Linked DNA regions of Sus scrofa. The protein of the gene in region 4 interacts with the protein of the main gene of each other region in a pairwise test. Links are inferred from orthologs where the notes say so. Each region holds a gene or a part of one and is shown on either strand. Other genes may lie near its edges. The genes, in order: PNMA2, UBXN11, MKRN3, PSMA1, PNMA1, TRIM23 and CCNH.

Region 1 (4,130 bases), on a different chromosome or scaffold from region 4:
AGATTCTCGCTTGCAGTCCGAGGAGGCGCTGACCATGGTCCTGGCCTCCGAGCTCGGGATGCGAGAGCGGAGGACGACAGAGGGGATGCGCTGGAAGTGTACGCAGGGCGCGGCGGGGAGCTGTCGTCTAGGCCCCCGCCCCTCCCGACCCCCGGGGAACCCGCCGGCCTTCACGCGAACCCTCCACTGCACGCTCTGAGCTGCATCAAAAAAGGGTGGGGCAGCCAGACACAGCTGCAATCGGAAGCTGCCCGGGAGGATTTAAGAAGAATGGAACCTCGGCCCATCCCCTCCCCCTCCAACCAAGAGACCCCCCAGCCGGGGATAGGCCCATCCTTTACCCCTACCCCCACCACCCAGGCCCAGGGAAGCGCGGGGAGCCTTTGTGGGCGCACAGCCGCCCACCGCCCAGCCCGAGCTTCTCCGAACCCTGCACGGAGAAGGGGCGGGTAGGGTGGGGTGCTTGTGCACATGCAGGGAAGCGATATTCGAGGTGGGGCAGGACGGTGGGCACGCTGGGATCCTCGGCTTTTCACCGAGCTGGAAGGGGCGCGAGGGAGGGGCGAGCCCCACGCTCCGTCCTGTCTCGAACACCTCCGCCCCTCCTCCATACCAACCTGGTCGTTGATGTTCTGCAGGGCTTCCTTACCGGAGGCCCGCCGGATCTCCACCTTCCGGCCCGATTCAACAGATGGCTCCCCGCCGGCGCGCCGACCCTGCCGGGAGTACGGCGGCTGCGGGTCCGGGCCCAAGTGGGCGACGTCCCGCTGCTGAGCCACCACCTGCCCCGAGCCCCGGCCCACCGACAGCGAGTCGAAGTCGATGGTCTTGTTCTCCGAGGACCCTTCCACCGGGCAGAACATGCCACAGAATTTCTGTCGAGGCTTGGGGCTACCGGAGCCCAGGTTTTTAAAAAAGGCAGGGACCTCTTCGTCCTCTGCCGCCTTCCCGGATTGCTTCCTCTCTGCCATGGCTTGGGGGCTTGGGGAGTGTCCTCTCTGTCCGTTCTTTCCTCAGCGGGTCCCTAAGTCTGCCTGTCTCTGTGCAAAAATCCCCCCCGGCTGCTGCCTCGGCTGCTGCTCTCTGCCTACCGCAAGGTGTACAGAAAGGAACGAGGGCTGGCGAGCGAGCGACCCACCCCTCCCGGTCCCTCCCCCTGACCCCGCTTTCTCCCCTCCCTGCCCACGCCCCCCGCAGCCTCGCGAGCTCCCGCGAGCGGCAAAGTTGGGGTTGGGAGGGTGGCCGCTGCGGCAGCAAGAACCGAGAGGCTGCCAGTTACCAGCAGCGGCGGGAGGTGGGGGGAGGCGCGGGCGGGGCGGGGGCGGGGCGCGGCGCTGGGGAGGGGAGCTCAGCGCTGGGGAAGCTGGGGAGGGCCGCGCCGCCCAGACCCCACGCTCCGGAAGTGAAGCGGCCAGACCCCCGGCTAATGGATGCGGAGCAGAAAGCCCGCTGACCGCTCTCGGCCCCAGGGTAAGTATGGGGCAGGGCACGCTGGGGCGAAGATCCGAGGGCGCCATCCCAGGCCCCCGCTCCCCTCTCCCCGAACTGCCCGGCCCAGGCACCTCTCTCCCACCGCAATGCAGAGCTGGCCCAGGGGCGAGGGCCCACTGTGTGGAGGGTTCCCTCCCCCTTACCCGAGTGCGAGCTAATGGATAGGAAAAGGGGCAGAAACTGGTAGACTCAGGACACTCAGCGGGAAGGTAAGGGGCGGCACTCAGGACGGAGAAAGGATGGCGCAGGCTGCGCAGAGTGGTGGGGGCCATATAGGGCGCGGTCTATCCATTGGCCTTGGTGGGCTACTGGGAGCAGAGATTGAAACAAGTTCCTCATTTACTATACCCACTGTGGTGGGGGGCGCGCAGCGTGGCGGAGAGAAATGCAGAGAGGCATAGCAAATGCGGAGGAAGTCGGTATATATAGAGAGAGACATAGGTCCACGGTCTGTGGGAGTGTAGCAAAGAGTGTAGTCTGCAAATTCCAGCCCAGCGCGGCAACTTGGATGTATAGTGAGAGAGGGAGCAGACCGCTACACTGGCGCGCCGTATACCGTAATTGCGCCACAGCGCCAAGAAAAGCCCAGCAGAATGCATCTTCCCCCGCCCCCAACCCGGCAAAGAAGGGAGAAAGACATTCTTTGAAGCCCACTCCCCAAATCTCCAGCCCTACCCAGCGCCCAGGGCGCCCCGCCTCATTTCCCCGCCCTGCTGCGCACTGCGCCAGAACCACGGGGTTTCCTAGGTTGCCAGAAGCCTCGTGCCTGAGGCCTTCTTGCGCGCGCGGCCAGTGCAGGGTAAGGAGATGGGGTGCCAGCTGTGATGAGTGAAGAACTGTGTGAAATCCAGCAGGAGAATGAGGTATGGGGACATGGTGTGCATGCGCCAGTAGACTAGCCACAGCCACCACCGGTTTAGTGGGCATCCAGAGGGCATTTTAATGTATGCCAGTAACACAGTCTCTGAGGGCTCTTTATTACTTACACCTATCCCTCTGTCCTTTCCACGTCTCAGTCCCTGCCCATGATTGATTACAGCCCTGCCTTTCTCTCTTCAGTGGCAAAATCCTGCAGAAATGATGCCCATCCTTTGGCTGCTGGAGAAGGAGCTCTGGGCATGCTCACTAAGCTGGGTGGGTTGGACTGGAAAACACTCTACCATAGGAGTGTCGTTGCTGGGCAGAGTAACCAAAGATCCGATCCCATTGTCATCCCTCACCCCTGGAAGGGTTAAATGTGGATACCCTGCCTCTCCCAATTGTGATGGATAGTTTGGTAAATGGAGTTAAATTCTGAGGACAACCAGTCCCAGTTTGAAGATAAGCCCACCATGATAGGTGGGAAGGCATCTGGGGATGAGAAGGAGAGGAGGAGGGAGGAGAGAGGAATTTACATGTGCAGGGGATGAGAGAACCAGAGGCAGGCATTTGGACTGAGCACCAGATGTGCTTCACATTTGAATAAAATGCTTCCACACGAATCACGCCATTTCCTACTGCCAGCAGCCCCCTGAGATGAGTGTTTCATTGTCACCACTTCCCAGGATTCCAGGGTAGAAAACAGATGTAGAGGCTTTGCCCAAGGTAACTGTCTAGTTAAATGATCCAGCAATTCCAGTGAGGTCTTCCACCTGGAAGTCTGGTTCCTTTTTGACCTTATCCTGTCTTTATAGGAGAAAGGACAAGATTTTCACATTTTCCCCTATATTCAAATATTTCCATCTGTGGCTTTATTGTGTGTCAGGAATGTTTCACTCGCCTTTTATTTTTATTTTTTATTTTTTTTAACTTGAAGGTAGGTTGCATTGCAGGTAGAGACTGGTTTTGGAAGAAGAAGACACCCAAAGATAGCCTAACTTCAGCATGACCATTATTATGTAGACCTTAGAGCTGTTTCTTCCTGGGTACCCAGTGTCTTTTTCCACCTTATGTTTCCTCTATTGCAACAGGGAGGAAGGTCACTCCCACGTCTTAGAAGAGGAACAGGAGGCATGATGAAGTCCCTGGGTTCAGATCCCTGGGGCTGCAGGGCAAGGACGTGATCCAGCATTTTGCCCTTCTGACCCTCTGGCACATGCCCCACTTTCAGCACCTTCCAGAAGGACTCAGGAAATGTGCCTGCAGCAAGAACAGCTGCCACTGTAGCTGCAGGTTGGCATCTGTGGCATATGGACCCCATTTGGAGTGATGGAGATTTTTAGGGAAAAAATAGTTGTGGCACCTTAACACACACTCCACGATGCATGACAGCAACGGGATGATAGACAGTCTTCCCTTTTTACATTATTCAGTCTCCACCGGCTCACCACAGATGTGCCTCCTCGATTTTTCTTTGTCCTCAAATCACCCATTCAAGTTCAGATGCTATGAAGAAAGCATCATGTTACTAATGAAACATTTATAGCAAGAAAGGCCCCTACTTGTGCATTTTCAAAACCTGACCAGGCATAACCATAGGGAATTCATAATTCCAAGTTTAACTTATTTGGTTCTACAAGTTTTTTCTAATTGTTAAACCTATATTAAATTTTACCTATAATGTTATATTAAAGTGTATTATATGTTATATTTTATACCTGTGTTCAGTTGGTTTTAAATGTTTGAGTGATTTCTGATTGGATTTTTTAATCAAAGAAATG
Region 2 (4,029 bases), on a different chromosome or scaffold from region 4:
TTCAGTCACACCTTCCACTTGAACTGTTCCCCTGGCCATGGACCTGAACCACCTGTACCCTGGCTTATTTTTGCTTGCATGTTTTACTTAAGTGGGAGCTTCTAGAAAGAGCACAGATTCTGGAGGCAGAGAGTCTAGATTAGCATCGACTTTTGCTGCTTTCTACCTGTATGGTCTTGAACAAGTCACTTCACTTCTCTGAGCTTCAGTCTTCTCTGCTGTAAAGTTCATAATGCTGACAGTGGGCACTTGAAAGACACTCATTAATTGGTAGTTCCCCTCCTTCTCCAATTGGTGTGTAAAGAATGCCTCAAGGAGCCTGCTCTCTCCTAAATGCAGTAGATTAGAGTCAAATGGAAAATACTACGTGTGGTTGAGACATGCAGAAAAAGGGCTTTGGTAGCTGAGCCAAGGCATAGACTCTCAGAGTATCACAGGTGGAAGGTTGTGAGATAACGGTAGTTAAAAGCAGGAAATGTTTTGAAAGCTTACTCTGTATAGCTATTGTGACAGGCACTCTGCATACATTATTTCATTTAATTCTCACACAACCCTATAGGGGTGGGTATTCTCCCCATTTTACAGAAGAAATTAAGGTGAATAACTTGCCCCAGGACGCACAAGTCAGGGGCCTGGACTCCAAAGGCCAAAGTCCATGCTCTTAACTAAATCACCTTTTGTTGCTCTAATCCAATACCTTATTTTTTTCATGTGAGGCTCAGGAGGGGAAATGTCTCACCCAAAGTCACAAAAAGAAAAAAGTGTTTTATCCGAAGGCAGGGGGAATCTTACCTGAATTTTTACACAAAGGAAATAGAATCTGAGCGCCCCTTTAGGGCACCATTTGGTCAAGAAGTTAACAGAGGTTTTCAGATTTAAGAAACATTTATTAACTACTTGCATCATGTCAATTCATACTCCAAAGAACTCCCCCTTAGCACTGTACTGATCAGACGAGAAAACAGAGAAACGTAATTTCTCCCCAAATCAATTTAGCAAAACAACATTGTCGGGATTACAGCTATGGATCCAGCGACTTCTAATGGCTTCGTGAATCCAACCCCAGGCCCTCCACTTTCAGTGCCTTGGGGTGGTAACAAATAGACCCTCCGTTCCCCCAAACCCAGAGTCCGCGCAGAGCGGTGGATTCTGGGATTTGCATGTATCCCGCGAGGAGTTTAGACTCTGTGGGCCAATAGAATTCGAGTACAGAAGGCTGTACCCTCCTCCGCTGCCTGCTGGTTGCTCAGGACCCCACGTATTAGCCAATGAGAAGTGCACTGGTCCTGGTTGCCTGGGAAACCGCGTGACAACAAGATGGCGGCGCCGCGGGGGGCTCGGCCGACCTGCGTGGTGAGTTCCAGCCCCGGACCTTTCTGCCCGCAGAGCCCCCAACGCAGGCTGGGGCCCTAGCACAGAGAGCCTCGAGGACAAGCGAGCCCGGCGGATCAGCGGGCCCTCAGCGTTCTGGGAGCAGATTAGGCCCCCGCCTACTTTGGCAGCGCGTGGAGGGGGGAGGTGGCGACGCGGCTCCCTGGGCGGAGCTGGTGGTAGAAGTTGCTAGGTGAGCGCTTCCAGCTGGAGATTTGGGGAATGAAGGCGTGCAGCTGGCTGGTCTGTGTTGGCGCTGTAGAGCACAGAGGCCCGTGGAGGGACAAATTTGGGTCCCCAAAATAAAGAGGCGTAATACAAAGCCCAAATTTTAGCCGCCCCAAAGTGAAGGCAATAGTGGTGGCTCTGTCCTCAGGGTCCCCAGTCTGAGGGAAAAGACACAGCCCTGCGCTCAGGAGCCCCCAGGCTGATGGGAGGATACAGTTGTCATCCGTAGGGGTCCTCTATAATCCATGGGGAAATCGATCCGGAGTCAGTGTGTTGGGCTAGAGTGAGACTGGAAACTGGGAAGTCAGTTTGGGGCCATTGTGACAGTCCCAGAGAAGGGCAGTGAGAGCCCCACTCTAGGATGGCCAACAGTGGCCATGGAAAAAAAAGGAGCTATGTATGAGAGAAATGCAGAGTTTACCCTGCAGGGGTAGGATAGAATTAAGAGGGAAAAGAGTCAAATTTTTGCCTCTCATTAAGAAGGAGAACGTGGTGGAGTTCCTGTCGTGGCACAGCAGAAACGAACCCGACTAGGAACCATGAGGTTGTGGGTTCGATCCCTGGCTTCGCTCAGTGGGTTAAGGATCTGGCATTGCTATGAGCTGTGGTGTAGATTGCAGACGCGGCTGGGATCTGGCGTTGCTGTGGCCCTGGGGTAGGCCGGCAGCAACAGCTCGGGTTAGACCCCTACCTGCGAATCTCCATATGCCCCAGAGTGTGGCCCTAAAAGGACAAAAGCCAAAAAAAAAAAAAAAAAAAAAAGCAGGAGGAAGTGGGAGGAATTTATGTTGAGGGAAGATATGGGTTTGGCTTGGAGGCCAGGTCCCTTTTTTTTCCTGTGATAGCTTTATTGAGATATGTCACATACTATATACTTCACCCTTTTAAAATGTAAATTTCAGTTGTTTTTAGTATATTCATAGAATTGTGCAGCCATCACCACAGTCAATTTTAGAACATTTTCATCAGGAGTTCCCGTCGTGGCGCAGTGGTTAACGAATCCGACTAGGAACCATGAGGTTGCGGGTTCGGTCCCTGCCCTTGCTCAGTGGGTTAAGGATCGGCGTTGCCGTGAGCTGTGGTGTAGGTTGCAGATGCGGCTCGGATCCCACGTTGCTGTGGCTCTGGCGTAGGCCAGTGGCTACAGCTCCGATTCGACCCCTAGCCTGGGAACCTCCATATGCCGCAGGAGCGGCCCAAGAAATAGCAAAAAGACAAAAAAAAAAAAGAACATTTTCATCAGTTCCAAAGGAAACCCTATACTCTTCAGCAGTCCACACACACACATGCACACCCCACCTCTCCTTAGCACTTCCAACCCTAGGCAACCTCTAATCTATTTTGTGTCTATAGGTTTGTTCACTCTGGATCTTTAATATAAATGGAATCGTAACAATTAGTGGTCTTTTGTGATGGACTTCTTTCCCTTAGCATATGTTTTCAAGGTCCATTCATACTGTAGCATAGATTTCATCCCTTTTTCTTTTTTTCTTTTTTTTTTCTTTCCTTTTTCTAAAAGGGCCGCTCCCACGGCATATGGAGGTTTCCAGGCTAGGGGTCTAATCTGAGCTGTAGCCGTGCTGGCCTACGCCAGAGCCACAGCAACTCGGGATCCAAGCTGCGTCTGCAACCTATACCACAGCTCACAGCAACGCCGGATCCTTAACCCACTGAGTGAGGCCAGGGATCGAACCCGAAACCTCATGGTTCCTAGTCGAATTCGTTAACCACTGAGCCACGACGGGAACTCCTCATCCCTTTTTCATTGCCAGATAGTATTCCATTGCAAGGATATATCACATTTGTTCATTCATTGGTTGATGAACACTTGGGGTTGTTTCCAGCATTATGAATAATGCTACTTATTGAACTGATATACAAATTTTTGTGTGGATGTACGTTTTTATTTCTCTTGGGTATATACCTGGGGTGTGGAATTGCTGAGCCACAAGATAACTGTGTTTAACCTTTAGAGGAACTGCCAAACAGCAGCCGTGCCATTTTATATTCAAACAAAGTTTCCAGTTTCCCTGCTCATCCTTGCCAGTGTTGGTTAATATCTGTTTTTTTGACTAGTTTCTTTTGAGGGGTCATTATGGTGACTAGAATTTAGAGAAGAGAAAGATAATCAGGTCTGGTGAAAGTTCATGCAGGGCAGTCTCAGCCACTAAAGGCCCAGTGCCTGAGACTTGAGTGTGGTGATTGTGATGGGGGTTTCATGACTCGGAATACACTAAGGACCAGTGAATTATATACTTTAAAAGAGTTGGAATCCCTGCTGTGGTACAGTGGGTTAAGAATCCAACCATAGTGGCTCAGGATGTGGCCATTAAAAAAAAAAAAAGAGTTAAGTATGTGAATTATACTTCAATAAAGTTGGGGGTTTCTTGCATTTTTTATTTTTATTTTTTACCTTAAAGTATAGTTGAT
Region 3 (3,949 bases), on a different chromosome or scaffold from region 4:
TTCCAAATTACTATCATACTTAGCTTTTGTTACTTTTCTGTATTTTTTTATCTTTCCATGCTTGCATTCTGACTGATTTCAATATGCTTATTAGTCTACTTTATCTTTTACAATCTTGTCGCTTTTATGTTGCAAACTTTTGTCACAAGCCCCTTCTTTGGAATATCTAGAGATCACACAAAATACTGAATACAAAGAATGTGTATCTGAGTCCAGGATTGTGCTGTTATAAAGAATAATGAGATGGTGTCTAAACTGCACAGGAACTCACATTTCTATATTGGTAACAGCAGGGTAAGCTATTAATTCCATCACAGGAATTACCAATGTTGGTATTTTGTAAATTCTTTATGATCACAATTGGCTAGAGACACTGAAATAGCTGCTTTCATTAGATGCTAATCACAGAAGCCTGTGAAAAGGACAGAATTATTCACACACCTCACATTCACCCAACATCAAATCTTATCAGCCTTTAACTTTCAGCTTCTAGCTCTGTATGTACTACATAAACATAATAAAATGGTGTATATCTTTTATATTTATCCTCAAATATATCGCTTTCACACACATTAATATGCATATATATAATTCTTAAATATTACTTCCAAATATAAATAATTTCACATCAAGCTAAACAGGATAAAAACATGTAAACATATGCACTTGGTTCTGGTCAAGTAAAACACAAAACCACAAGGTAACCACAAGTTAAAGAGTGCACTTGAAAGGGATGAGAAGCAACAAATGTGTAAACAACAGAGATAAGCAGTTGCACCACAAGGCCCCTCCAGGGTCGATTTCTTAAGGCTGAAGTAGCAAAAAGCTCCTTGTTCAGTTAAGACTTCTCCCTTCACCCTGTCACATTTATTCTTGAGGGGCTTCAAAATGAGTGTGGACATTCTGTAAACACTAGACTAGAACTGAGTCAATCCTGTTGAAAACAGAGATGACAAAATAAACCATAAACTGACAGTCATATTAATTTCACCAAACAATAACTTTAAGGATGTTTTGTGACTTTTTAGCACAGTGAAACACCATAACCCTAGGGGCAAAGAAATGGGAATGGGCAAGAAAACAGAGATGGATGCTCTAAACAAATGGTTTCAGCAGCTTCTGTAAGTGACAGATGTGTCTATAAACACAACACAGGCAAGAGCAGATGACAGAGCCTCAGCACACCATACAACATGCCACAGAATGCCACAGATTCAAATTGAAATATTCTTCCAGCTCACAATGAAGCAAGTCCCACTGGGTCTCTGAGCAGGGGAGCTCATTAGCTCCCCATGAAAGAAAACACTGACACAACAGATTGGCCAGCCAAAGCATGACAAGCTCTTTTTTACAGCTTTTAAAGGGCATGTCGCCCTCTCCCACCTGCGGAGGCTCCAAAAGTTGACCACGCCAAGGACCGGGTGCCCCAGCACCCTGCCTCTGGGGCTCCTCTCCCTGGCCCTCAGGGAAGGCATGTTTGTAAAAACAGTTCTCTTCAAATGGGCAGAACCTGCCTCTTACAAAATACCTGCAGGGCTTGTGGCTCATTGCCTCCAGGTACTGCTGAATAAGTCTCTGCTTCTCTTCCTCCTCCTCCACCCAGAATTCACTGGGAATGACAAAGGTGGAGATGACTCTGCACTGGGGGCAGGACTTGACGACCCAGGTCCCAAACTGTCTGGCACTCCTCCACCTGCGGATACACTTAAGGCAGTAGGTGTGGTTGCAGCTGGAGAGGATGCCAAAGCGGCAATCATTCCGGTTGGCTTTCTCATAGACCACCTCCATGCAGATGCCACACACTTTGTCCGCACTGCGCTGCACGGCAAACGAGAGCTCCATATTCTGCTCATGTGCTTCCATGCAGGCCCTTCTATGGTCTGCCCTCTGAGCACCATCAAAGGGGTGCAAGACCTTCAGCCCACACAAATCGCACATATCTCCATGAAGATACATACAGCTTGGCCCACGAAAGCATTGCCCCATGATAGCATCGCGGCAAAGCTGCTGCCTCTGGCCCAAGGCAAACTGCTCCCTCACAGTCAGCAAGCCCTGTGGAGGAGCCACGTAGATAGGAGGGGCCATGCGGCCTTGGTACGGTTGCCCGGGAACAAACTCAATGGCATGCTCCCAGCCTTCCGCACCTGCTCCTCCCGCAGCTTCAAGGCCTGCATATTCAGTCTCGGCTTCAAAGAAAACCCTCTCAGCAGAGCCAATCAGAGGAAAAGAGCGTGAGGACACAGCCGGGGGGGCTTCCGCCACTTCCTGAGGCAGGGCCTCGGCGTGCGCAGCCGCGCTGGGGCCACTGTCTGTGGAGGCTGGGGGTGGTGAACCGGGGCCCTCCCTGGCCACCTGCCGCCCTGAGAGGTCATGGGAGTATCGACAGTTCTCCCCCTCCTTGCACTGAGCATGCAGATAATACCTGCAGACCACTTCCTTTGTCCAGCTGCCACTGCTCCGGCCCGGCAGCCATCTGGGCCCAGCCCCTCCCCCTGACTCCTGGGCGGGCCTCACACGTGACGGACGGAAGGGGGCTGGGCCTGGAGCCGGAGACCACCGGGAGGTGGGAGGCACCGGAAGGGTGGGCCAAGGCTTGATCTCCCCGGCTGCCTCGATGTCCCCAAATGTCCCAGCTGCCTCGTAGGGTTCTGTGGGAGCTGCAGGCTCTTCCATGGCAGCTTCTGCTCCCCAGAAATGGTACCGGAACTACCCCGGTGTCTCCTTGTGTCAGCCTTGAGGCCCGGAGGCCGGGCGCTAGCTCGGGGCTGATTTTTAGGAAGTGTGCATCTATTTTCTGCTTCCCCCGGTCCCTACTTCCTGTAATTGTGTTCCTACTTCCTTCTCTGGCAGCGCCGGACACTTCCTGTGGAGGCAACATCGGTCCTACATCACTTCTGCACGATCGGTCCGATCGGTCCGTCAGGAATGCTGACCGGCTTCCTTCTTTGTTCGCAGCCAGCAGCGCTGCCCGCTTTCGGCTCAAGCAGCGTCTCCGCTTCTCTGCACGCAGCCCCTGCTCCCCCGCGTCTCTCCTGGGGAAAGGAATCCCAGCCTTTTGAGGTTTTAATTCAATCGCTTCCATTGTTCCTTCCGACACTGTGATTTGAATGCTTTTTCATACATCTCTCTTTAAAGCGTCTAATCCTCGTTTGTTTTAAAGCCCCGTATGTTTAAAAGGGTGTCTTGTTTCTGAAACATCTCGTGCATAAATTTTATAAATGCTTTGTTTGTTCACTCCATTTTATGTCTGTGTGGGTCGTATTTTTTGTCATGTTTATTTATGGGTTTCCTGACTTTCCCTGCTAGCAGCTTTAATCCCTTTAGTTGTGTTGAAAAGACTTGAGACTGCTCTTTGTTTTCTGGAAATTCTTACCGGCTTTTGTTGGAAACGTTTTTTCCCCTGTGAGACATTAGCAGGGAGCGTTTGTGATCTGTGACTGCTTTAGTGCCTGTCAGCTGTCTTAGGTTATTGTGATTTCTAATGCTTCCCTCCCTCTGTGCAGAAGCAGCAGACTTCAGTGGGCTTGATGCTGGCTTAATTAGCCCCTGTGCCCTTTGTGACCCTAGCCTTTATTTTCTCTTGCTAATTTGACTCACAGTGGCTCTTTGTTTCCCCTTCTTTCATCCTTTTTTGTGTGGTATTGTGTTAGACCAGCCTTTCATAGCATATTCTATGCCCTGTAAGCGGTACCTCTTAATTTTGCAAGTGCATTTTATTATATTGGTTAAAAAAGTAAATTCTCAAATATAAAGCATATTTATGGATGGCTACTGAATTTTATCATGTAGTATTCTGCATTTTTTTGAGAGGTTATCATATTATTTTCTCCCTGTCTTGTTGTTGTGATTATTTGCACTGCTAGGTTTTAACTGTTTAACTTACCATTTTTTATTCCAAGAAAAACCTTTTTGTGGTATGATTTATTATAATTTTATATATTATTGGATT
Region 4 (3,992 bases):
GAGGGATAATTTTGGTTTTTTTTAGGGCTGCACCTGTGGCATATGGAAGTTCCCAGGCTAGGGGTCCAGCCGGAGCTGCAGCTGCGGGACTATAGCGCAGCTCTCAATAACGCCAAATCCTTAACCCACTGAGAAGGCCAAGGATCTAACCCGCATCCTCACGAGGACAATGTGGATCCTTAACCCCCTGAGCCAGACAGGGAGCTCCAGGAGAGGGCTTAAATATTAAACTTAAATATTAAACAATGGGGGTTTCGGTAAATAAAATATCATATGTTCACAATGCAGAATATCGGGAATCTTGTTTAACCTAGAAAAATTTTAATATAAAAAAGTGTCCAAAATACATGTGACAAGGTTTTTAAAGTGCGATACCAACTTGCTCTAACTTGAACAAATCATTTAAGGGAGCTGAGTCTCTTCATTGACAAAGCTTAGATCCTTAAAGACCCCTTTCAACTCTTACCTGAGTCTAGGTACTCATCCTTTCTTCTTCGTAAAGAAAAGAACTCATCATTGGCAGTCAGTAAATTTTAGGTTGGCAGCTGTTTGTAGAGCTATCCTAAACTATTTTCTCTGAGAATTTACTAAAAGATGTTCGCAAAAAGGAAAATACCTATTTCGGAAGAAGATGTCCCTCAGTTGCCTATTCTTTCAGGCATCGTGCTTGGTTTTGACGGCAAAGACATTAATGCCCTCAAAAAGTTTAAAGTCTGATAATAATGATAGTGATCAGTGACAACAACGCCTGGAAAATAAGGAGTAAGGAAAAGGATTCCAAAGTAGAAAGAAAATCATGTCCAGAAACAAGATACTCCAGGAAGAGTACCGTTGACACGAAGAAATGGACCATTATTTGTGGTCTTTTTTTGCAGTCCTGTTCTTCTCGCTACCCAACACCACAAATCTCTGTGGACGCTGAATGAGAGGCTGAGCAGTACACCAGGAATCTCGGGTGCATCCGGCCGGGCCGGTGAGAAACTGACAGGAATCTACAGCTCACAGGTAACTTCTCTGAGGATCCAAGAAAGGCGACTTGATAGTGGCCACCCAGCGACTATTAGCTCCCGCGGGCGTTCCTGGCCCAAATTTTCCCGCCAATGTGAGTTTCTCAGATTTCCCAGGCCCCGCCCACTCCCGAGCGGGCGGAGAGCTTTGAGGGCGGGGAAGCGCCGGAAGCCTATCGCTATCTCTAGAATAGACTGCTCTACCCTGCGCCGACGCATAGTCCCGCAGACTTCTCTGCAGATCGCCGAGCGGTAGTTTCGGCAGCGCTCCTTGATCTGCAGGTTTACCGGAGGCCGTGACTAGGCTCTCGCCGGAACCATGGTGCGTTGGATTCCGAGCTCAAACAGGGTTGGGGCACAGGCCCGCTGGCTGGGGGTTGGCGAGTGATCTCTCTGTCACTCTTAGAGCGGGCCGGGGCTATGGGACATGGGAACCTCAGCCGATGGGGGGTTCTGGAGTGATTCAGCATCTCTGGCCTGGCCGGCACAGGGGAAGTCGGTAGTCGGTGCGGCCTTTCCCCTGGGTTTGTTTCGCTTTCCATCCGGCCTTGAACAATACCTCCTCGGTCTGCTAGCCGAGTTCGCCCCTCAGTTTCCTTCAGTCGAGTAGATTCCGAGCGGTCCAGAGGGGCCCCTAGTGCTCTGTGTGAGAGAAAGGAAAAATTGGGATTTGACTTTTGGAATCTCCCTGTATAGCCAATAGCAGAGTTGAGAGCTCAATTCTCTTTTAGAGCTCAATCAGAAAAGGCCTTTTTTCAGTCACTTATCCAGTTAAGTATTTTTATGAAAGAGTAAACTGAAGCTGATAGAAGTGATAGAATAAGGGTTACAATATAGGGCTCAGAGCTTCCAGTCCTATGTCTACCATTCCAGCAGTCAGCCTTCTCACCCTAATGATTGGGCTCCCAAGTACTGTGCTGGCAGACTCATTTTAAGCTGTCTTTAAAGCTGTAATGGGTCCGTCTCTGTGGCTATTTGTGTCCACTTCTGACTTTCTGGGGACATTCTTGTGTGTACTCATTCTATAACAATGTTTTAAATGCACTGTTTTAACTACAGTGAAGGTTCAAAGATAAATCAGACACGTCCCTAATCGTAATATAAGGTCGAAAAAAAAGGTGTAGATAAAGGAATGGTAGGAGTATGTGTTGGGATTTGGGGAGGAAAGATGGAGAAGGCTTCAAGAGGTAGACATTTGAGGTATTTAAGGAAAAGGAATGCTTTTTTTTTTTTTTTTTTTTTTTGTCTTTTTGCATTTTCTAGGGCGGAATCCGCGGCATGTGGAGGTTCCCAGGCCAGGGGTCTAATCTAATCGGAGCTGTAGCCCCGGTCTACGCTAGAGCCACAGCAACGCAGGATCCGAGCCTCGTCTGCGACCTACACCACAACTCACAGAGGCGCCAGATCCTTATCCCACTGAGCAAGGCCAGGAATGGAACCCGCAACCTCATGGTTCCTAGTTGGATTCGTTAACAACTGAGCCACGACAGGCACTCCAAGGAAAAGGAATGCTTTTGATCGTATTAGGTCTTGGTATCAGGGAAGAGAATAAGCCAAAGATAGAAAGGAGAGTGGACACATAGGAACTTTAGTAATTGACTGAACTCAAAGGCAGTGCAATGGACAGTGGTAGAATTGGAATTTGGGAAGATAGGTCCCATCTGGCTCTGCTCTCCCCTCCCTCACAAGCTCCTTGTAAATGTAAAATTGGCTTGCAACTAAGTACAGTAGAAATCTTCCAATGAGGTTGCAGTAACAACCTTTCATTAATGTTGGATGGAAATAGACTAGAAAATTATTATTATTATTATTTTCTTTTTTTTTGCTTTTTAGGGCTGCACCCAAGGCATATGGAAGTTCCATAGGGGTCCAGTCAGAGCAGCAGCTGGAATCTGACCTATGCCACAGCTCATGTCAATGCCAGATCCTTAATCCATTGAGCAAGGCCAGGAATCAAACCCTTGTCCTGATGGATACTCGTTGGGTTTGTTACCAATGAGCCACGATGGGAACTCCAGAAAACATTTTTGAGTGATAGAGCTTGTTAAGATTTGGGTTTTGTAATGTTCTTGTATTAACAGATTTTTTTTCATTTACTTTCAGTTTCGCAACCAGTATGACAATGATGTCACTGTTTGGAGCCCTCAGGTAAAATGTTTTATACTGTTTCTACAAAGTTGCTTTTGGTGGCTGCAACTTAAAAATGTTTTGGATAGTATGCTGTGAGAAAATATAATCATTTTAGACATTCCTGTAAGTTTCCTAGTTTTAAAGAACATCGTTTGAGGTTTAGCTATTCTTACCTGAAATTTGGGATCTCTGAGTTAATTTTTTTTCTGCATTTGATCATATGGGGATATTTATGTCATTTTTAAAAAATATAATTGTTTAAAAATATAGTTGTTTTACAACGTTGTACTAATTTCTGCAGTACAGCAAAGTGACCCAATCATCCATATATATATATACACATTCTTTTTCTTGTATTACTTCCATTGTGTTCTGTCCCAAGAGGTTGGATATAGTTTCCTGTGCTATATAGTAGGATGTCATTGCTTATCCATTCTAAATGTAACAGTTTGCATCTACTAACCCCACACTCCCAGTCCATCCTACTCCCTCCCCCGTCCCCTCTAAGTTAATTTTAAATCCATGAAAGGGTCTTGTACAATGACTCTAAGGTGTATTGGGTTTTTTTCCTTTTTAGGGCAGGATTCATCAAATTGAATATGCAATGGAAGCCGTCAAACAAGGTTCAGCAACAGTTGGTCTGAAATCAAAAACCCATGCAGTGCTGGTTGCATTGAAGGTAAGTAAAGCAATAAATATATCTTCCTCTTTTAAAAAAGAGCTACTGGGAGTTCCCATTGTGGCTCAGCGGTAACAAATCCAACTAGTATCTATGAGGATGTGGGTTCGATCCCTAGCCTCACTTAGTGGGTCAAGGATCCGGCATTGCTGTGAGCTGAGGTGTAGGTCACAGAC
Region 5 (4,269 bases), on a different chromosome or scaffold from region 4:
CGCAGCCTCCAGCTACACTCAGCTAAGGGCATGAGATTAACCTAGTGCCTGTGTTCTAGACCATTTCTGAGGTCTCTTAGCCACCCAAGGAGACAGGGCTTCGACACTGTCCTCCATGCCTTCAGCAACCCCTGTCACAGCTAAGGTACACACCTATCCCTTTGGCTACTCCACTTCCACCCCTGGCACAGAGGTCGTGTGCTGCTTATGTCTAAAGGGATCCCCTATATTTAACTGCCTCAATGACCTAACCTCTTTCTTCTCATGTGCCAGATGTTAAGATGAAGGAGGAATACAACACATACACAAGCCTCAGCTGTTTAAATATGTTTTTACCGGGGCTCAGTTTTCTCAGATGGTATTTATTACCAGTGGCAAGCCTAACTCCTTAGGTTTACAGGAAGTATGCATATTTTTATAAAACAATTGTATGTCCTCCCCATATTTTGCTGTATTAATATTTGCCTCTAACTAACAATTTGCAGCTGTTTCACCTTTTCCTCATTTGTCTCTTAGTCAAAGGCCTTGTTGGAGGGGACAGAGCACAGGAACAGCCTTGATAGTCTGTAATTATTGTACAAATATTTTAATAGCATATAAATAAGTATATTCCTTTTATTTTGAAAAAATCAGACACTGCCTTTTGTGTGTTTGCTGCCTGTGGCACCCTTTTTTAAAAGACTGTTACATATTAAAATAGTGTACATATATATAAATATTACCTCTTTTGCTGTACAGTTGTGATAGACCAGACGGAAGATTTTATTTTTTGTGTGCTTTTTATAAAAAAAAAAATTAACACACTAAAGAAAATCTTGCTGATGTGATTGTAATGTACCTATGTAACTTATTTACTTTTGAATGTTCTTCTGTATCTTTAAACCTTTTATTAAATAAGGTTTTAAAAATTCAGAGTTGATTTCTGTGTCCTTTGGGGGAAAGATTTATTATCTCACCATCTGGGATTGTAAGTGTGCCTTGGTTTGCTTCCAAAGGATACTTGACATTTTTGAACCATAAGGCCTGTTTTATCCATGATGCCAGGGCAGGGGAAATAACACATTAGTGTTTGCCGGGTTACTATTCATAGAGATCTAGATCTTTTTACAACATTTTAGACAAGAAGAAGTCTCAACTCACTGGGATAAAATTTAGAGGGTGCAGAGTGCAGTCAGGTGGTACAGGGTATTATACAGCATTGCCTCTGAACGAGCGACGCGAGTAGACAAGTCTTTCTTGACGGCCGGATATCATCTTAAATCCACTCCAGAATTATATTATCTTTTAAACACAGTGCTTTGTTAAGAAAAAAAAAAATCTGGAAAATGCGAAAAAGGAAATGCGCGGTAAAGGAAATTAACGCCCGCGGCCCCGAGCTGCCACCATGGCAACCATTCGCCCCTGCAGGCCGCTAGAGCTCCGGCGTCTCGCGTCGGTGGTTGCCGTGGCTACGGTCGCGCGGGCAGGGCCGCGGGGGGCGGGGCGAGGCGGGTCGAAGGCCGGCCCCGCCCTCCACTGCGGCAGTAAAGGCTAGGCTGGCTGCGGGTGGGACCGAGGTACAACTGTGCAGCTCCAGCCCACCTCGGCCCGCGGTCGCCTGCGTGCGGGGCTGCCGCGGCCTGCCTGCGACTGCGCCTGCGCCTCCTCTAGCCTGGCTTCCGCGTCTTTCCTGCGCCTCTGCTGCCTGTGTTCTTGGTCCTTGGCGTCCTCGCCGCCCAGAGGGATACGTTTGCCCACGAAGAAGCTCTCTCGGGTTGGCCTCGCTGCCGCCGCTGTCTTTCCCTTAGGACAGTCTTTCCCTCCGGGGGCGGTACTAGTTCTTGTCTGCGGAGAAGCGGCTCCTAGCTCGTCTGAGGCGTGCTCCGCTCTGGCAACGAAAGCTTGCACCCTCTGGGAGCAGCAGCGAGTGCCTGGCGCCCAGGCTGCGAAGAGGCGGCCACGTCCCGCGATCAAGCCCTGCGGCTCCTGCTTTCGCCGCCCGCCTTTTTTCCTCGCCTCTGCGCTCCGACGCGACACCTTCCTGTAAGTGGAGGACCCGGCCTGCGGATCCCGACCGGAGACACAAGATGGCGATGGCCATGTGACTGAGCATCCCCGAGGCTTCGTTCCGAGAACGCGGAGGCCTGGCTTTGAGGGGCAGCGAAAAGAGGAGAGCAGGACACTGGTGTCGTTTGTTAAACGTGATTGACTCCCTCGGGCATATGGGGGGAGGTGGCGGTGGGAGCGTCTGCTATTGTCTTCAGTTTTAGAGCACAGGGAGCCACAGTCTAATTGTATTTGTAGAATTGGGGCCCTTGATAGTTGGGAAAATGGCGATGACACTGCTGGAAGATTGGTGTAGGGGGATGGATGTGAACTCCCAGAGAGCCCTTCTGGTCTGGGGGATCCCTGTGAACTGTGATGAGACCGAAATCGAAGAGACCTTTCAAGCTGCGATGCCCCAGGTGCCCTATCGAGTGCTTGGGAGAATGTTCTGGAGGGAAGAGAATGCCAAAGCAGCCTTGTTAGAGCTCACTGGTGCTGTCGATTATGCTGCGATCCCCAGGGAGATGCCAGGTAAAGGAGGGGTCTGGAAAGTAGTCTTTAAGCCCCCCACTTCCGATGCTGAATTTTTAGAAAGGTTGCACCTCTTCCTAGCAAGAGAGGGGTGGACCGTGCAAGATGTTGCCCGTGTCCTTGGGTTTCAGAACCCCACTCCGGCCCCAGGCCCCGAAATGCCGGCAGAGATGCTAAACTATATTTTGGATAATGTTATTCAGCCTCTGGTTGAGTCCATATGGTACAAGAAGCTGACGTTGTTCTCGGGAAGGGACATTCCGGGGCCAGGGGAGGAGGCATTTGATCCCTGGCTGGAGCACACTAATGAGGTCATAGAGGAGTGGCAGGTGCCTGATGTAGAAAAGAGGCGGCGGTTGATGGAGAGCCTTAGAGGCCCTGCCGCTGATGTCATCCGCATCCTCAAGACCAACAACCCTGCGATTACCACCGCTGAATGCCTGAAGGCGCTGGAGCAGGTGTTTGGGAGCGTCGAGAGCTCTAGGGATGCGCAGGTGAGATTTCTGAACACATACCAGAACCCGGGAGAAAAATTATCTGCTTATGTGATTCGTCTGGAGCCTCTGCTGCAGAAGGTGGTTGAGAAGGGGGCCATAGATAAAGATAACGTGAACCAGGCCCGCCTGGAGCAGGTCATTGCCGGGGCCAATCACAGCGGAGCCATCCGAAGGCAGTTGTGGCTGACCGGGGCTGCTGAAGGGCCGGCCCCCAACCTCTTCCAGTTGCTGGTGCAGATCCGCGAGGAGGAGGCCAAGGAAGAGGAGGAGGAGGCTGAGGCCGCCCTCCTGCAGTTAGGCCTGGAGGGGCACTTCTGAGTCCCAGGAAAGGGGGCGTTAGTTCAGACCTAGATCACGGCTGCTTTCATTGTCTCTGTGATGTCTTACAGGTGTGTCTCCTGCTAGTAAAGACTAAGCGGTGTTTTTTGTTTTTGGGCGGGAGTCCGGCCTGGGTATTCATGTGTCATTAGCACAATCGTGCAGGGGAGCACCAGATCTGCTGCAGCGCTCGTGGGTCATGCTAGCTACAATGCCAGGGAAAGGCTTGGACGTGAGTCCTCATTGCAAGCTATCATCATGGCACCATCATCGGTTGTGAAAAATGTGGTCTCGTGACTCTTCCCATCAAGGTAATTAAATATGAAATTGCATGTTCAGATGTATAATGAGTGCAGGGCCTGGATACCAAAAGAACTGTTCAGTAAAAAATGTCAACTGTTTACTCTTAACTGTGGTGAATAGTTTTTGTGTCTACCGTAAATTGTTCCTGGTTTATATTAATGGAAAGAAATGTGAATAAGGTATTATTCAGCTTTACAGTGCAGATTTCTTACTGTACATCTTTAAAGATCTAGATCAGTTTAATTGAAAAGTGTTCTGAGACTACAAAATGGGGTGTTAGAACGATACTGCGCTTACAGGGCTGTGTAAATCAAGTTTTCACTGTGTAAGATGCAGATATAAAATGCATGGGGAGGTTAATAGGAACCAGTTACAGCATCTATTCCCCCATTTCAAATCTTTGTCATTGAAGAGTAGTTTACCATGTTCATGCTGATTCTAAATGTTTTAAATTCGAAGTTATCAAATACATGTATATTAATAAAAATATTTTTTAAATTCTCTTATTTTTCTGCAACATATAAAAATTTTCAGTGTAATTAAGCTCTGTATCTTCATTTTTTCAGGAAGATTTCCCCCATCACTAAAAAAATCC
Region 6 (3,500 bases), on a different chromosome or scaffold from region 4:
GACCTACACCATAGCTCACAGCAATGCCAGATCCTAACCCACTGGGCGAGGCAAAGGATGGAACCCATGTTCTCATCGATACTAGTCAGGTTCTTTTCCATTGAGCCACAAAGGGAACTCCTACATAGGAGTTTCTGGTGAGCATCAACTACTTTATTTCTTTTGGTATACTCCAAGGTACCAAGTACAGCACTTTCCATAAAGATTGTACTCAAAATATAGAACAGAAACTTTGTAAATATCTAAATGATTTCTCTTGAAATAGTAACAGCTACCTATAATATGGAATACTAAAATAAGTATTCTGAAATACAAATGTGTCACCTGTTTGTTAGCAAAAATCAGGAGCAAAGCATCTCGGAGTTCCTTTTCCGTCAACAACTTTGCAAGTTCACTGTGTGCTTCACTAACTCTGTCTCTGTGACTGCTATCAACAACAAATACAACAGCTACCAAAAGAACGTAAAAATGTTCAATTAGTCACTTGTTAAGTTTCAGCAAATGGACCAAATATTTTAATGTTCTCATTATGATAATCTATGATCATTTTCACAGAAAGGCTGCCAATTATAGGAGCACCTAGCAATAATTAATGATATGATCTCAAGTAGTGAACATAACTTTTCAATTGTTGTTTCCCAACCTATAACAGGATTTACAACACTTGCACTACCAAATAGAAACTGCTGTTCATACCATTTAAAATTTTTTTCTTAATGAATGAAAATGCAGCTCTCCTGATCTACTTGCTGGTGCTACTTCTTCGATTATTACTTCATTTACAAAAAGTCTTTGCTTTTTTTTTTCTTTTTAAGACTGCACCTGCAGCATATGAAAGTTCCCAGGCCAGGGGTTGAATTGGAGCTGCAGCTGCAGCCTACATCACAGACACAGCAACACAGGATCCAAGCCACATCTGTAACCTACACTGCAGCTTGCAGCAACACTGGATCCTTAACCCACTAAGCAAGGCCAGGGTTTGAACCCGCATCCACACAGAGAAAATAGCAGGTCCTTAACCTGCTGAGCCACAATGGGAACTCCAAGACAGTTTTTTAAAAATAAATAAATCACCATCTTTATCTCCCCAAAGTATTCTCTGTAGGTGCCTGTAATGGCATGTTCCATAGATTAGACTGAAAATACACAGATGAAGCTTCATAAATAGATACTGAATTAATTCTCTTTAAAATATTTCCAGCTTCCTCCTGTAGCTAAACATCCCAGACTTTCAACCATTCTTCATACTCAAAATTCCCTTTTTTCCCCCTTAGTCACTTGCTCATACTAAACTTAATATCAAAAATCCCAAAGTAAAAATTATCTAGTCTTTCTTCTAGGTGGAAAATAGGATGATATATGAACATAAGTTTCAGGAGGTAAAGCATAAAATGAGGCCCAAATGCTAAGTGGAATATATGTGATATAACACAATTTGGTCAAAAGCAAACCACTTCAGGTTCTTCTGCAGATAACAACTAATTGTGAATGGAAATGAAGGAGTGGAAGCTATTGAGAGAATATAATGGAATTGAACTGAATAGAGTAACAGAACTATACCCCACAAATTCTACTCTATACGACAATATTGCCAGTGATCATGCTCATATGAACATTAATACTAATCTTTGTTAAAAGCAGCAAGAGGTAAGTATGCTTAACTGTCTACATATATAACATAAATATGGTTGTTATGCTATAATTATGCTTTTCATGAAATAACCCAGAGTACATATCCCAGTTTTTCTAATTTTCTTAATAATGTTACTAATTTTCTTAATAATGCGGTGTCTGCTACAAATATATAAAGGTATAGTTACATATTTAATCAATGCTAAAGCATCAGTTTTATTACCTAATCAATGCATTGAAAACTGGCATCCTAAAAATTTGAAAAATTATAATGTAACTCTTATACTCTTACCTTGGGTATTGAGGTAATAATGTTTCCACAATGGTCTTAATTTGTGTTTTCCACCTACATCCCAAATGGTGAACTTTAGATTTTTATATTCTACAGTTTCCACATTAAAACCTGTTTTTAAAAAAAGTTTCTTTAATACTAAACTTATATTTACAATGAATGACACAACAAACACAGGCAACACCATTTACAACTGTAACTTACAAATTATCTTCATACAACAATATCTACTGCTGCCCAACTAACTCCACTCCTAATAAGCATACATGAGGAAATTAATACCTTTAACCAGAGCTCTTAGGACCTTGACACTGAAGTGCCAGCTCTGCACCACTACCACCTCCTCACCCCAAATCCTTAGCCAGTCATCAATCCTTTATTCCTTGCAACTGTACCACCAATATTCTGTTCCTTCTTACTATCCCTCTATCCACATTTCAGTTAAACAGCCACTGAATATTCCATTTTTTTCTCCATGGCAGAGCCATTCTCCACAGCAGACAGGCATAAAATAAGGTCCTAAGAACTCAGCTATAAGCTAGAGTTTGTATGTAAAGTGTCCATTAAAGATAAAGCAATACTCATACTTACCAATTGTTGGAATAGGCTGCATAAACTCATCCTGTTTTAATTTAAACAAAATAGTAGTTTTTCCAGCACCATCTAATCCTAATGTGACAACTCGAATTTCCATTTTTGGTCCAATGTGAACTCTATTGTCCTATAATTTTTAAAAAATTTAATCTTTTTATTTTGTTATGGAGTTAAAAGTATTAGCACTTAACACTTTTATTTACAAAAAACTTCTGTTAATTATTTGTCTCCTACTCATTCCTCAATCCATTAAAATCAGTTTAAAATACCCTGATTCTGATATTCTCAGAGGAATCACTCCTCATTGCTTTGCTAAATCTTGGCTTAGTAAAACTTACTACATACTTTGTTTTAATACAAGTTAAAAAAATATACACATCCACTTCTTTATCCCAGATTTTCTAGCTCAACTGAATCTTCTTTAAATAAAATTTTTATGCTGAGTTAAATATATTAATTAAAAATGAAAAGTGATGCTCATTTCCCATAAATATCCACTGTTAACAATTTCATGTATGTCCTTCCAGACACCTTTCTGTGCACACATTGGTTGACATACATAAAACAAATATACTTTAAAAAAAAAACATATTTCAACTAACTTTTCACAATTAACATTATGGAAATCTTTCATTTCAAAACATACAGACATACTTTTCCTTTCAATTGCTTCATTATATTCCATAAACCACAATTTAACTAATCTCAACTGAAAGATACTAGGTCATCTCTGATTTTTTGATATTATAAATAATGCTGCAATGAACATACTTGTATATATTGCTGCATGACCTCTCTGCCTCACTTCTCCCATCTGTAAAATGGGGAATGAAAATAGCACCAGACTTATATAGGATTATTGCATATATTAATTTTTAAAAAGACATGTAAAAATCCTTAAAACACGTAGCCCATAAATGCTATATAAATGTCAACAATTATTTTACTTCCTCATTTGTGCACTCTTTTTGGCTTTTGTGAT
Region 7 (4,075 bases), about 50 Mb from region 4:
GGTTATAAACTACAAATGGTGTGAGTTCAAGAAATTCAAATAACTGTAAAAGTCTACCTTCAACTGCACCCACCCAAACAAAACAAAAAAGGGGGGAAAAAAACTCTCTCTTTCATAAGGCTTTAAAAATATTTTCATTGAAAGCAGAGTTAGAGATACCATGAAACCTCTTTTTACCTATAGACCTTTTCAACTTTCTGAATCTCACTATCTTTATGTGCTTTTTTAATGTTTATTTTTAGGAAAACAACTTACAGTAAGTAAATCCATCCTTTCTAACACAATGTATGATGCACAGGAGAAGGTATGCCTAAATGGGACAAATATAAAATCAGTAAAGACTTTTATGTGATCAATGTAAATTCTGTATCTCAAAAACAATTTTGAAAGCATTAGTTTTACATATATATAGATAGATATAAAATCTTAAGTTTAATAACAGCTTGTTGTAAGGCTCCCTTGAGGGCAATAATAAAGATGGGAATCTCAAGAAAACCCTAAAATTACCACTACCATACATTGTGGCCTCAGAGATGGAAATGGGGGAGAGGATTGGCTAGTCATCAACAGAAGCAGAAGAAAAAAGGCACAGAAAATAATAGAAAGGGACACATACGTGTCACAACAGTGAAGGACAATACTCCTGCACTGCTTCTAGTTTTCCAATTAGCGCCCCAGACGTTCTTCCTTAAAACGGAAGGAAGGAATGCTTCTGCCCTAGGACCTTGACTGTTCCATCTGTTCCAATATCACCCGCTACATGATTGGTACTTCCGCGACTCTTTCAAGTCCTTGCTCAAATGTCACCTCAGTGAGACCTCCTCTGAACATTCTATTTAAAAGGTGACACCCTCTCACGTCCTTTCCACACTTCACTTATCCCACGTGAATTGCTTATGTTAGCTTCAACATAGCCACAAATTATTCCCTTTTGGACACCCTGCCTGTCGCTTCTCCTTTAAATCTTGTGGGGAAGGGCGGAGCTAGGACCGAGGCTAAAAGCGAGGAGGAGCCTTCTACAGGCTACGCCTACTTGCGTCGTGGGCAGCGGGCCAGCGATCCCGCGCGGAGACATTCTTCTCCTCTTCCGCTCCGGAAGCGCGACTGCGGAGGGGATTACCACGTGACCTTGACGTCAACGCGCCCGCGCCAGGCGGACCTGATTCCCTCGGCTTCCCAGGGGTCTTGGTTTGTGGCTTATCTGCTTTCCACTCTGGTGCGGCGCAGTTCGCGGTCCTCGCTCAAGGCCCTCTGGGCCTGGCCTCCAACTTAAGTATGTACCACAATAGTAGCCAGAAGCGGCACTGGACTTTCGCCAGTGAGGAGCAGCTAGCCCGGTTGCGGGCCGACGCCAACCGCAAATTCAGATGCAAAGCAGTGGCGAATGGGAAGGTAAGAGCTCCCGCTGCCGGCCCCTTACCTAGGTCTCTACGAGCTCTAGCCCGTCCCCCTCCGCCAGGACTCCCTGCACACCTTCTTCCTACCTGCCCCTGCCTTCTCAGTGCAGAGTGCGTTTATTTAGTAAACGACGAGCACTCTGCCGGATGCTCTGGGTTAGGGACAGACGAAACTATCCATCTTACAGTCAAGTGAAGGAAAGATAAAAAAGCAGTAACGGCAAAGAATACACTTTGTAGGATGCTAATATAATGAGGGGAGGGACTTTTCTCATCAGCTGTTGTGGAGAAGATGGGGGAAGGACCTTCCAGGTGGACAGAGCCACAAGTGCAAAGTAGAAGGTCAGTAATTGCAGGGCTGGTCCGTGGAACGCTCATGGTTCTGTGTGGCGGAAGCTGAGTACCTGTGCATGAAAGGCTGGAGAAGGTAGACAGGGGACTCGTAAATGGAAGTAAAGAGTTTAAAGTTTGTGAAATTTTATATTGGAAATTAACCCTGTTAGATTCTGTTGTAGAACGAGCTTTCTGGGAAAGAATGGATTGATTGGATGGGGCATGGTGGAGGCAGGGGGACAAGAGACCGTTAGCATGAACCAGTTGACCAGACAGAGATGGTTTGGACTGTGGCCTGCCAGCCACGTCCTTCCTGTTCTCCTTCCTCTTCGGTTTAATCTTTGCTCACAAGCTCCAAAAAAACACCACCATCCATTCTAGCTTCTGTGTCAGACCTGTTTTGATTCTGAGTACTGAGGTACCTTTACCTATAATTCACAACTTACTTCATATCACTTTGTGCTGCACAAAGTAATACATATTGTGCAAAATTCAAGTATTTAGTATGTGTGAGCTCATACAGCCCTCACAACTACTCCATGAGGTAGATACTGTTGTTTTCCTTGCTTTACATCTGAGGAAACTGAGGTACAGAGAGGTTGAATAACTTCTCAGGCTATATGCTAATAAGTGACAGAGCCAGGATTTGAACCCCTGGAATCTCGTTCCAGCATTCCTTCAGTAAACCACAAGGCTGTGCTGTCTTTAAAGTTAGAACCTGTGTTAGTTGCTTAGGACTGCTCTTAAAAAATTTACCACAAACTGGGTGCATTAAAACAGAAATTCATTGTCTAAAACAATGGAGGATAGAAGTCTGAGGTTCTGGAGGCTAGAAATCTGAGGTCAAGGTGTTAGCCAAGTGGTAATCTCTGTGGCTTCTAGGAAGGATCCTTCCTTTCCTCTTCCAGCTTCTGATAACCCGGGTGTACCTTTGCTTGCAGCAGCTAACTCCAATCTTTACATCCATCTTTACAAAATGTTCTCCATGTGTCTCTGTGCCCTCACATATTCTACTTATAAAGATACCAATCATACTGGATTAGGAGCCCATTCTACTTCAGTGTGACGTCATCTTAACTAATTAAATCTGCAGAGATCTTATTTCCTCACCTTCTGAGGTACTGGGGGCTAGAAATCAACACTTTTTTTGGCAGTCCTAATTAAACTCTTAATAGCATTAAATGAATATTTGTTGTAAATGTGTAGTGTTTATTAACTATCAAGTATAGTCTGTAGAGATTTTACAAAGGTAGGAAAGAGATAAAGTGTTAAGGATCAGAATTATCCTTGTGACACTTGTTGATTTTTACTCAAACCCGTGTGATTTAATAACTGACTGAGGGATATTGAAAGTTTTCCAGCCATTGACAGTATATCTTTATTGATTTATAAATAATGACATCAAACCTATGAACATATACACATGCTCCTCATGATTGCTTGTACCTTAGTGAGGCAGATATTCAGCTGACATACTGAGAAAATATGCAGTTATGGTGTAGTTTATTAAATATTTTCTTAAAAGCTATTTTGTGTAATATTAGCAATTTTCTGATAAAGGAAAAATATGGTATATTTCCTTTTGGTTGGATCTCTAAACTAAATTTAATCTGGACAAAGAAAAATATTTTAAGATTAAAAAATTTTTTAAGATTATCTAATTCATTACATTTTTATTCTAATTTTTGATTCAAAGGTTCTTCCAAATGACCCAATCTTTCTTGAGCCTCATGAAGAAATGATACTCTGCAAATACTATGAGAAAAGATTATTGGAATTCTGTTCAGTGTTTAAGCCAGCAATGCCAAGGTCTGTTGTGGTAAGTTATTGTAGTGGTGAAGTATAATGTCATTTAGCTAATTTCTGAAATCTGATCAATTATATTTAATTCTTATCTACTTTCCTCCAAAATATACTTTTGTTATATAAATATATAATTTATGTATTTAAGTTTTTGTCACATACATTTTTCATAAATGCCTTAAATTATGAACTCCTATGTTGTATCTCTCAGAAGTGTTTCAAGAATCATTTCATATCAAAAGAATTTTAAGGCCTGATACATAGATCATGATATCCTCATTTTATAGAAAAAGAAAAAATCAAATTACTTTCCCTCCAGATTCTCAATTAGTGAGCATTATAACTCCTACCTTATGGTCCCATGGACTAGTGCTTTTTAAACTCTTCACACACATGTGAAATAATGCATTTATTCATCATCTGTAATCCTATGCCCCAGCCAAAAGTCATGCTGTAATTTTTTAAACCTTGAGTAGTAGAAACTGGAGGTTTACTTTTGGGTGAAACTTGTCTTGTGGCTGTTTCACATGTATGGTTCTGAG

What was found.
Region 1: the proteins of PSMA1 (region 4) and PNMA2 interact in binary tests that used the Homo sapiens proteins (3 or more experiments, as listed by UniProt). The two-hybrid records come from large-scale screens. The link is inferred for Sus scrofa from reciprocal best matches to the Homo sapiens genes PSMA1 and PNMA2.
Region 2: the proteins of PSMA1 (region 4) and UBXN11 interact in binary tests that used the Homo sapiens proteins (3 or more experiments, as listed by UniProt). The two-hybrid records come from large-scale screens. The link is inferred for Sus scrofa from reciprocal best matches to the Homo sapiens genes PSMA1 and UBXN11.
Region 3: the proteins of PSMA1 (region 4) and MKRN3 interact in binary tests that used the Homo sapiens proteins (3 or more experiments, as listed by UniProt). The two-hybrid records come from large-scale screens. The link is inferred for Sus scrofa from reciprocal best matches to the Homo sapiens genes PSMA1 and MKRN3.
Region 5: the proteins of PSMA1 (region 4) and PNMA1 interact in binary tests that used the Homo sapiens proteins (3 or more experiments, as listed by UniProt). The two-hybrid records come from large-scale screens. The link is inferred for Sus scrofa from reciprocal best matches to the Homo sapiens genes PSMA1 and PNMA1.
Region 6: the proteins of PSMA1 (region 4) and TRIM23 interact in binary tests that used the Homo sapiens proteins (3 or more experiments, as listed by UniProt). The link is inferred for Sus scrofa from reciprocal best matches to the Homo sapiens genes PSMA1 and TRIM23.
Region 7: the proteins of PSMA1 (region 4) and CCNH interact in binary tests that used the Homo sapiens proteins (3 or more experiments, as listed by UniProt). The two-hybrid records come from large-scale screens. The link is inferred for Sus scrofa from reciprocal best matches to the Homo sapiens genes PSMA1 and CCNH.

What each region holds. Positions count from the first base shown.
Region 1 is NC_010456.5:10,425,590-10,429,719, reverse strand, and holds the start of PNMA2 (paraneoplastic antigen Ma2), read left to right. Parts: upstream 1-1,330; 5' UTR 1,331-1,470; intron 1,471-2,205; exon of another isoform or gene 2,206-2,354; intron 2,355-3,440; exon of another isoform or gene 3,441-3,642; intron 3,643-4,130. Other genes in the region: DPYSL2 (dihydropyrimidinase-related protein 2), read right to left, coding at 618-971.
Region 2 is NC_010448.4:83,711,716-83,715,744, reverse strand, and holds the start of UBXN11 (UBX domain-containing protein 11), read left to right. Parts: upstream 1-1,229; 5' UTR 1,230-1,353; intron 1,354-1,362; exon of another isoform or gene 1,363-1,564; intron 1,565-4,029. UniProt on the Homo sapiens protein: May be involved in the reorganization of actin cytoskeleton mediated by RND1, RND2 and RND3. Promotes RHOA activation mediated by GNA12 and GNA13.
Region 3 is NC_010443.5:142,498,169-142,502,117, forward strand, and holds the start of MKRN3 (probable E3 ubiquitin-protein ligase makorin-3), read right to left. Parts: upstream 2,801-3,949; 5' UTR 2,674-2,800; coding exon 1,177-2,673; 3' UTR 1-1,176. UniProt on the Homo sapiens protein: E3 ubiquitin ligase catalyzing the covalent attachment of ubiquitin moieties onto substrate proteins.
Region 4 is NC_010444.4:44,738,910-44,742,901, forward strand, and holds the start of PSMA1 (proteasome subunit alpha type-1), read left to right. Parts: upstream 1-1,192; 5' UTR 1,193-1,326; coding exon 1,327-1,329; intron 1,330-3,110; coding exon 3,111-3,155; intron 3,156-3,714; coding exon 3,715-3,816; intron 3,817-3,992. UniProt on the Homo sapiens protein: Component of the 20S core proteasome complex involved in the proteolytic degradation of most intracellular proteins. This complex plays numerous essential roles within the cell by associating with different regulatory particles.
Region 5 is NC_010449.5:97,049,058-97,053,326, reverse strand, and holds PNMA1 (paraneoplastic antigen Ma1), read left to right. Parts: upstream 1-1,469; 5' UTR 1,470-2,309; coding exon 2,310-3,371; 3' UTR 3,372-4,177; downstream 4,178-4,269.
Region 6 is NC_010458.4:44,108,292-44,111,791, forward strand, and holds part of TRIM23 (E3 ubiquitin-protein ligase TRIM23), read right to left. Parts: exon of another isoform or gene 2,646-3,500; coding exon 2,516-2,645; exon of another isoform or gene 2,036-2,515; coding exon 1,925-2,035; exon of another isoform or gene 1,499-1,924; coding exon of another isoform or gene 1,460-1,498; intron 450-1,459; coding exon 325-449; intron 1-324.
Region 7 is NC_010444.4:95,015,692-95,019,766, reverse strand, and holds the start of CCNH (cyclin-H), read left to right. Parts: upstream 1-1,275; coding exon 1,276-1,392; intron 1,393-3,426; coding exon 3,427-3,549; intron 3,550-4,075. UniProt on the Homo sapiens protein: Regulates CDK7, the catalytic subunit of the CDK-activating kinase (CAK) enzymatic complex. CAK activates the cyclin-associated kinases CDK1, CDK2, CDK4 and CDK6 by threonine phosphorylation.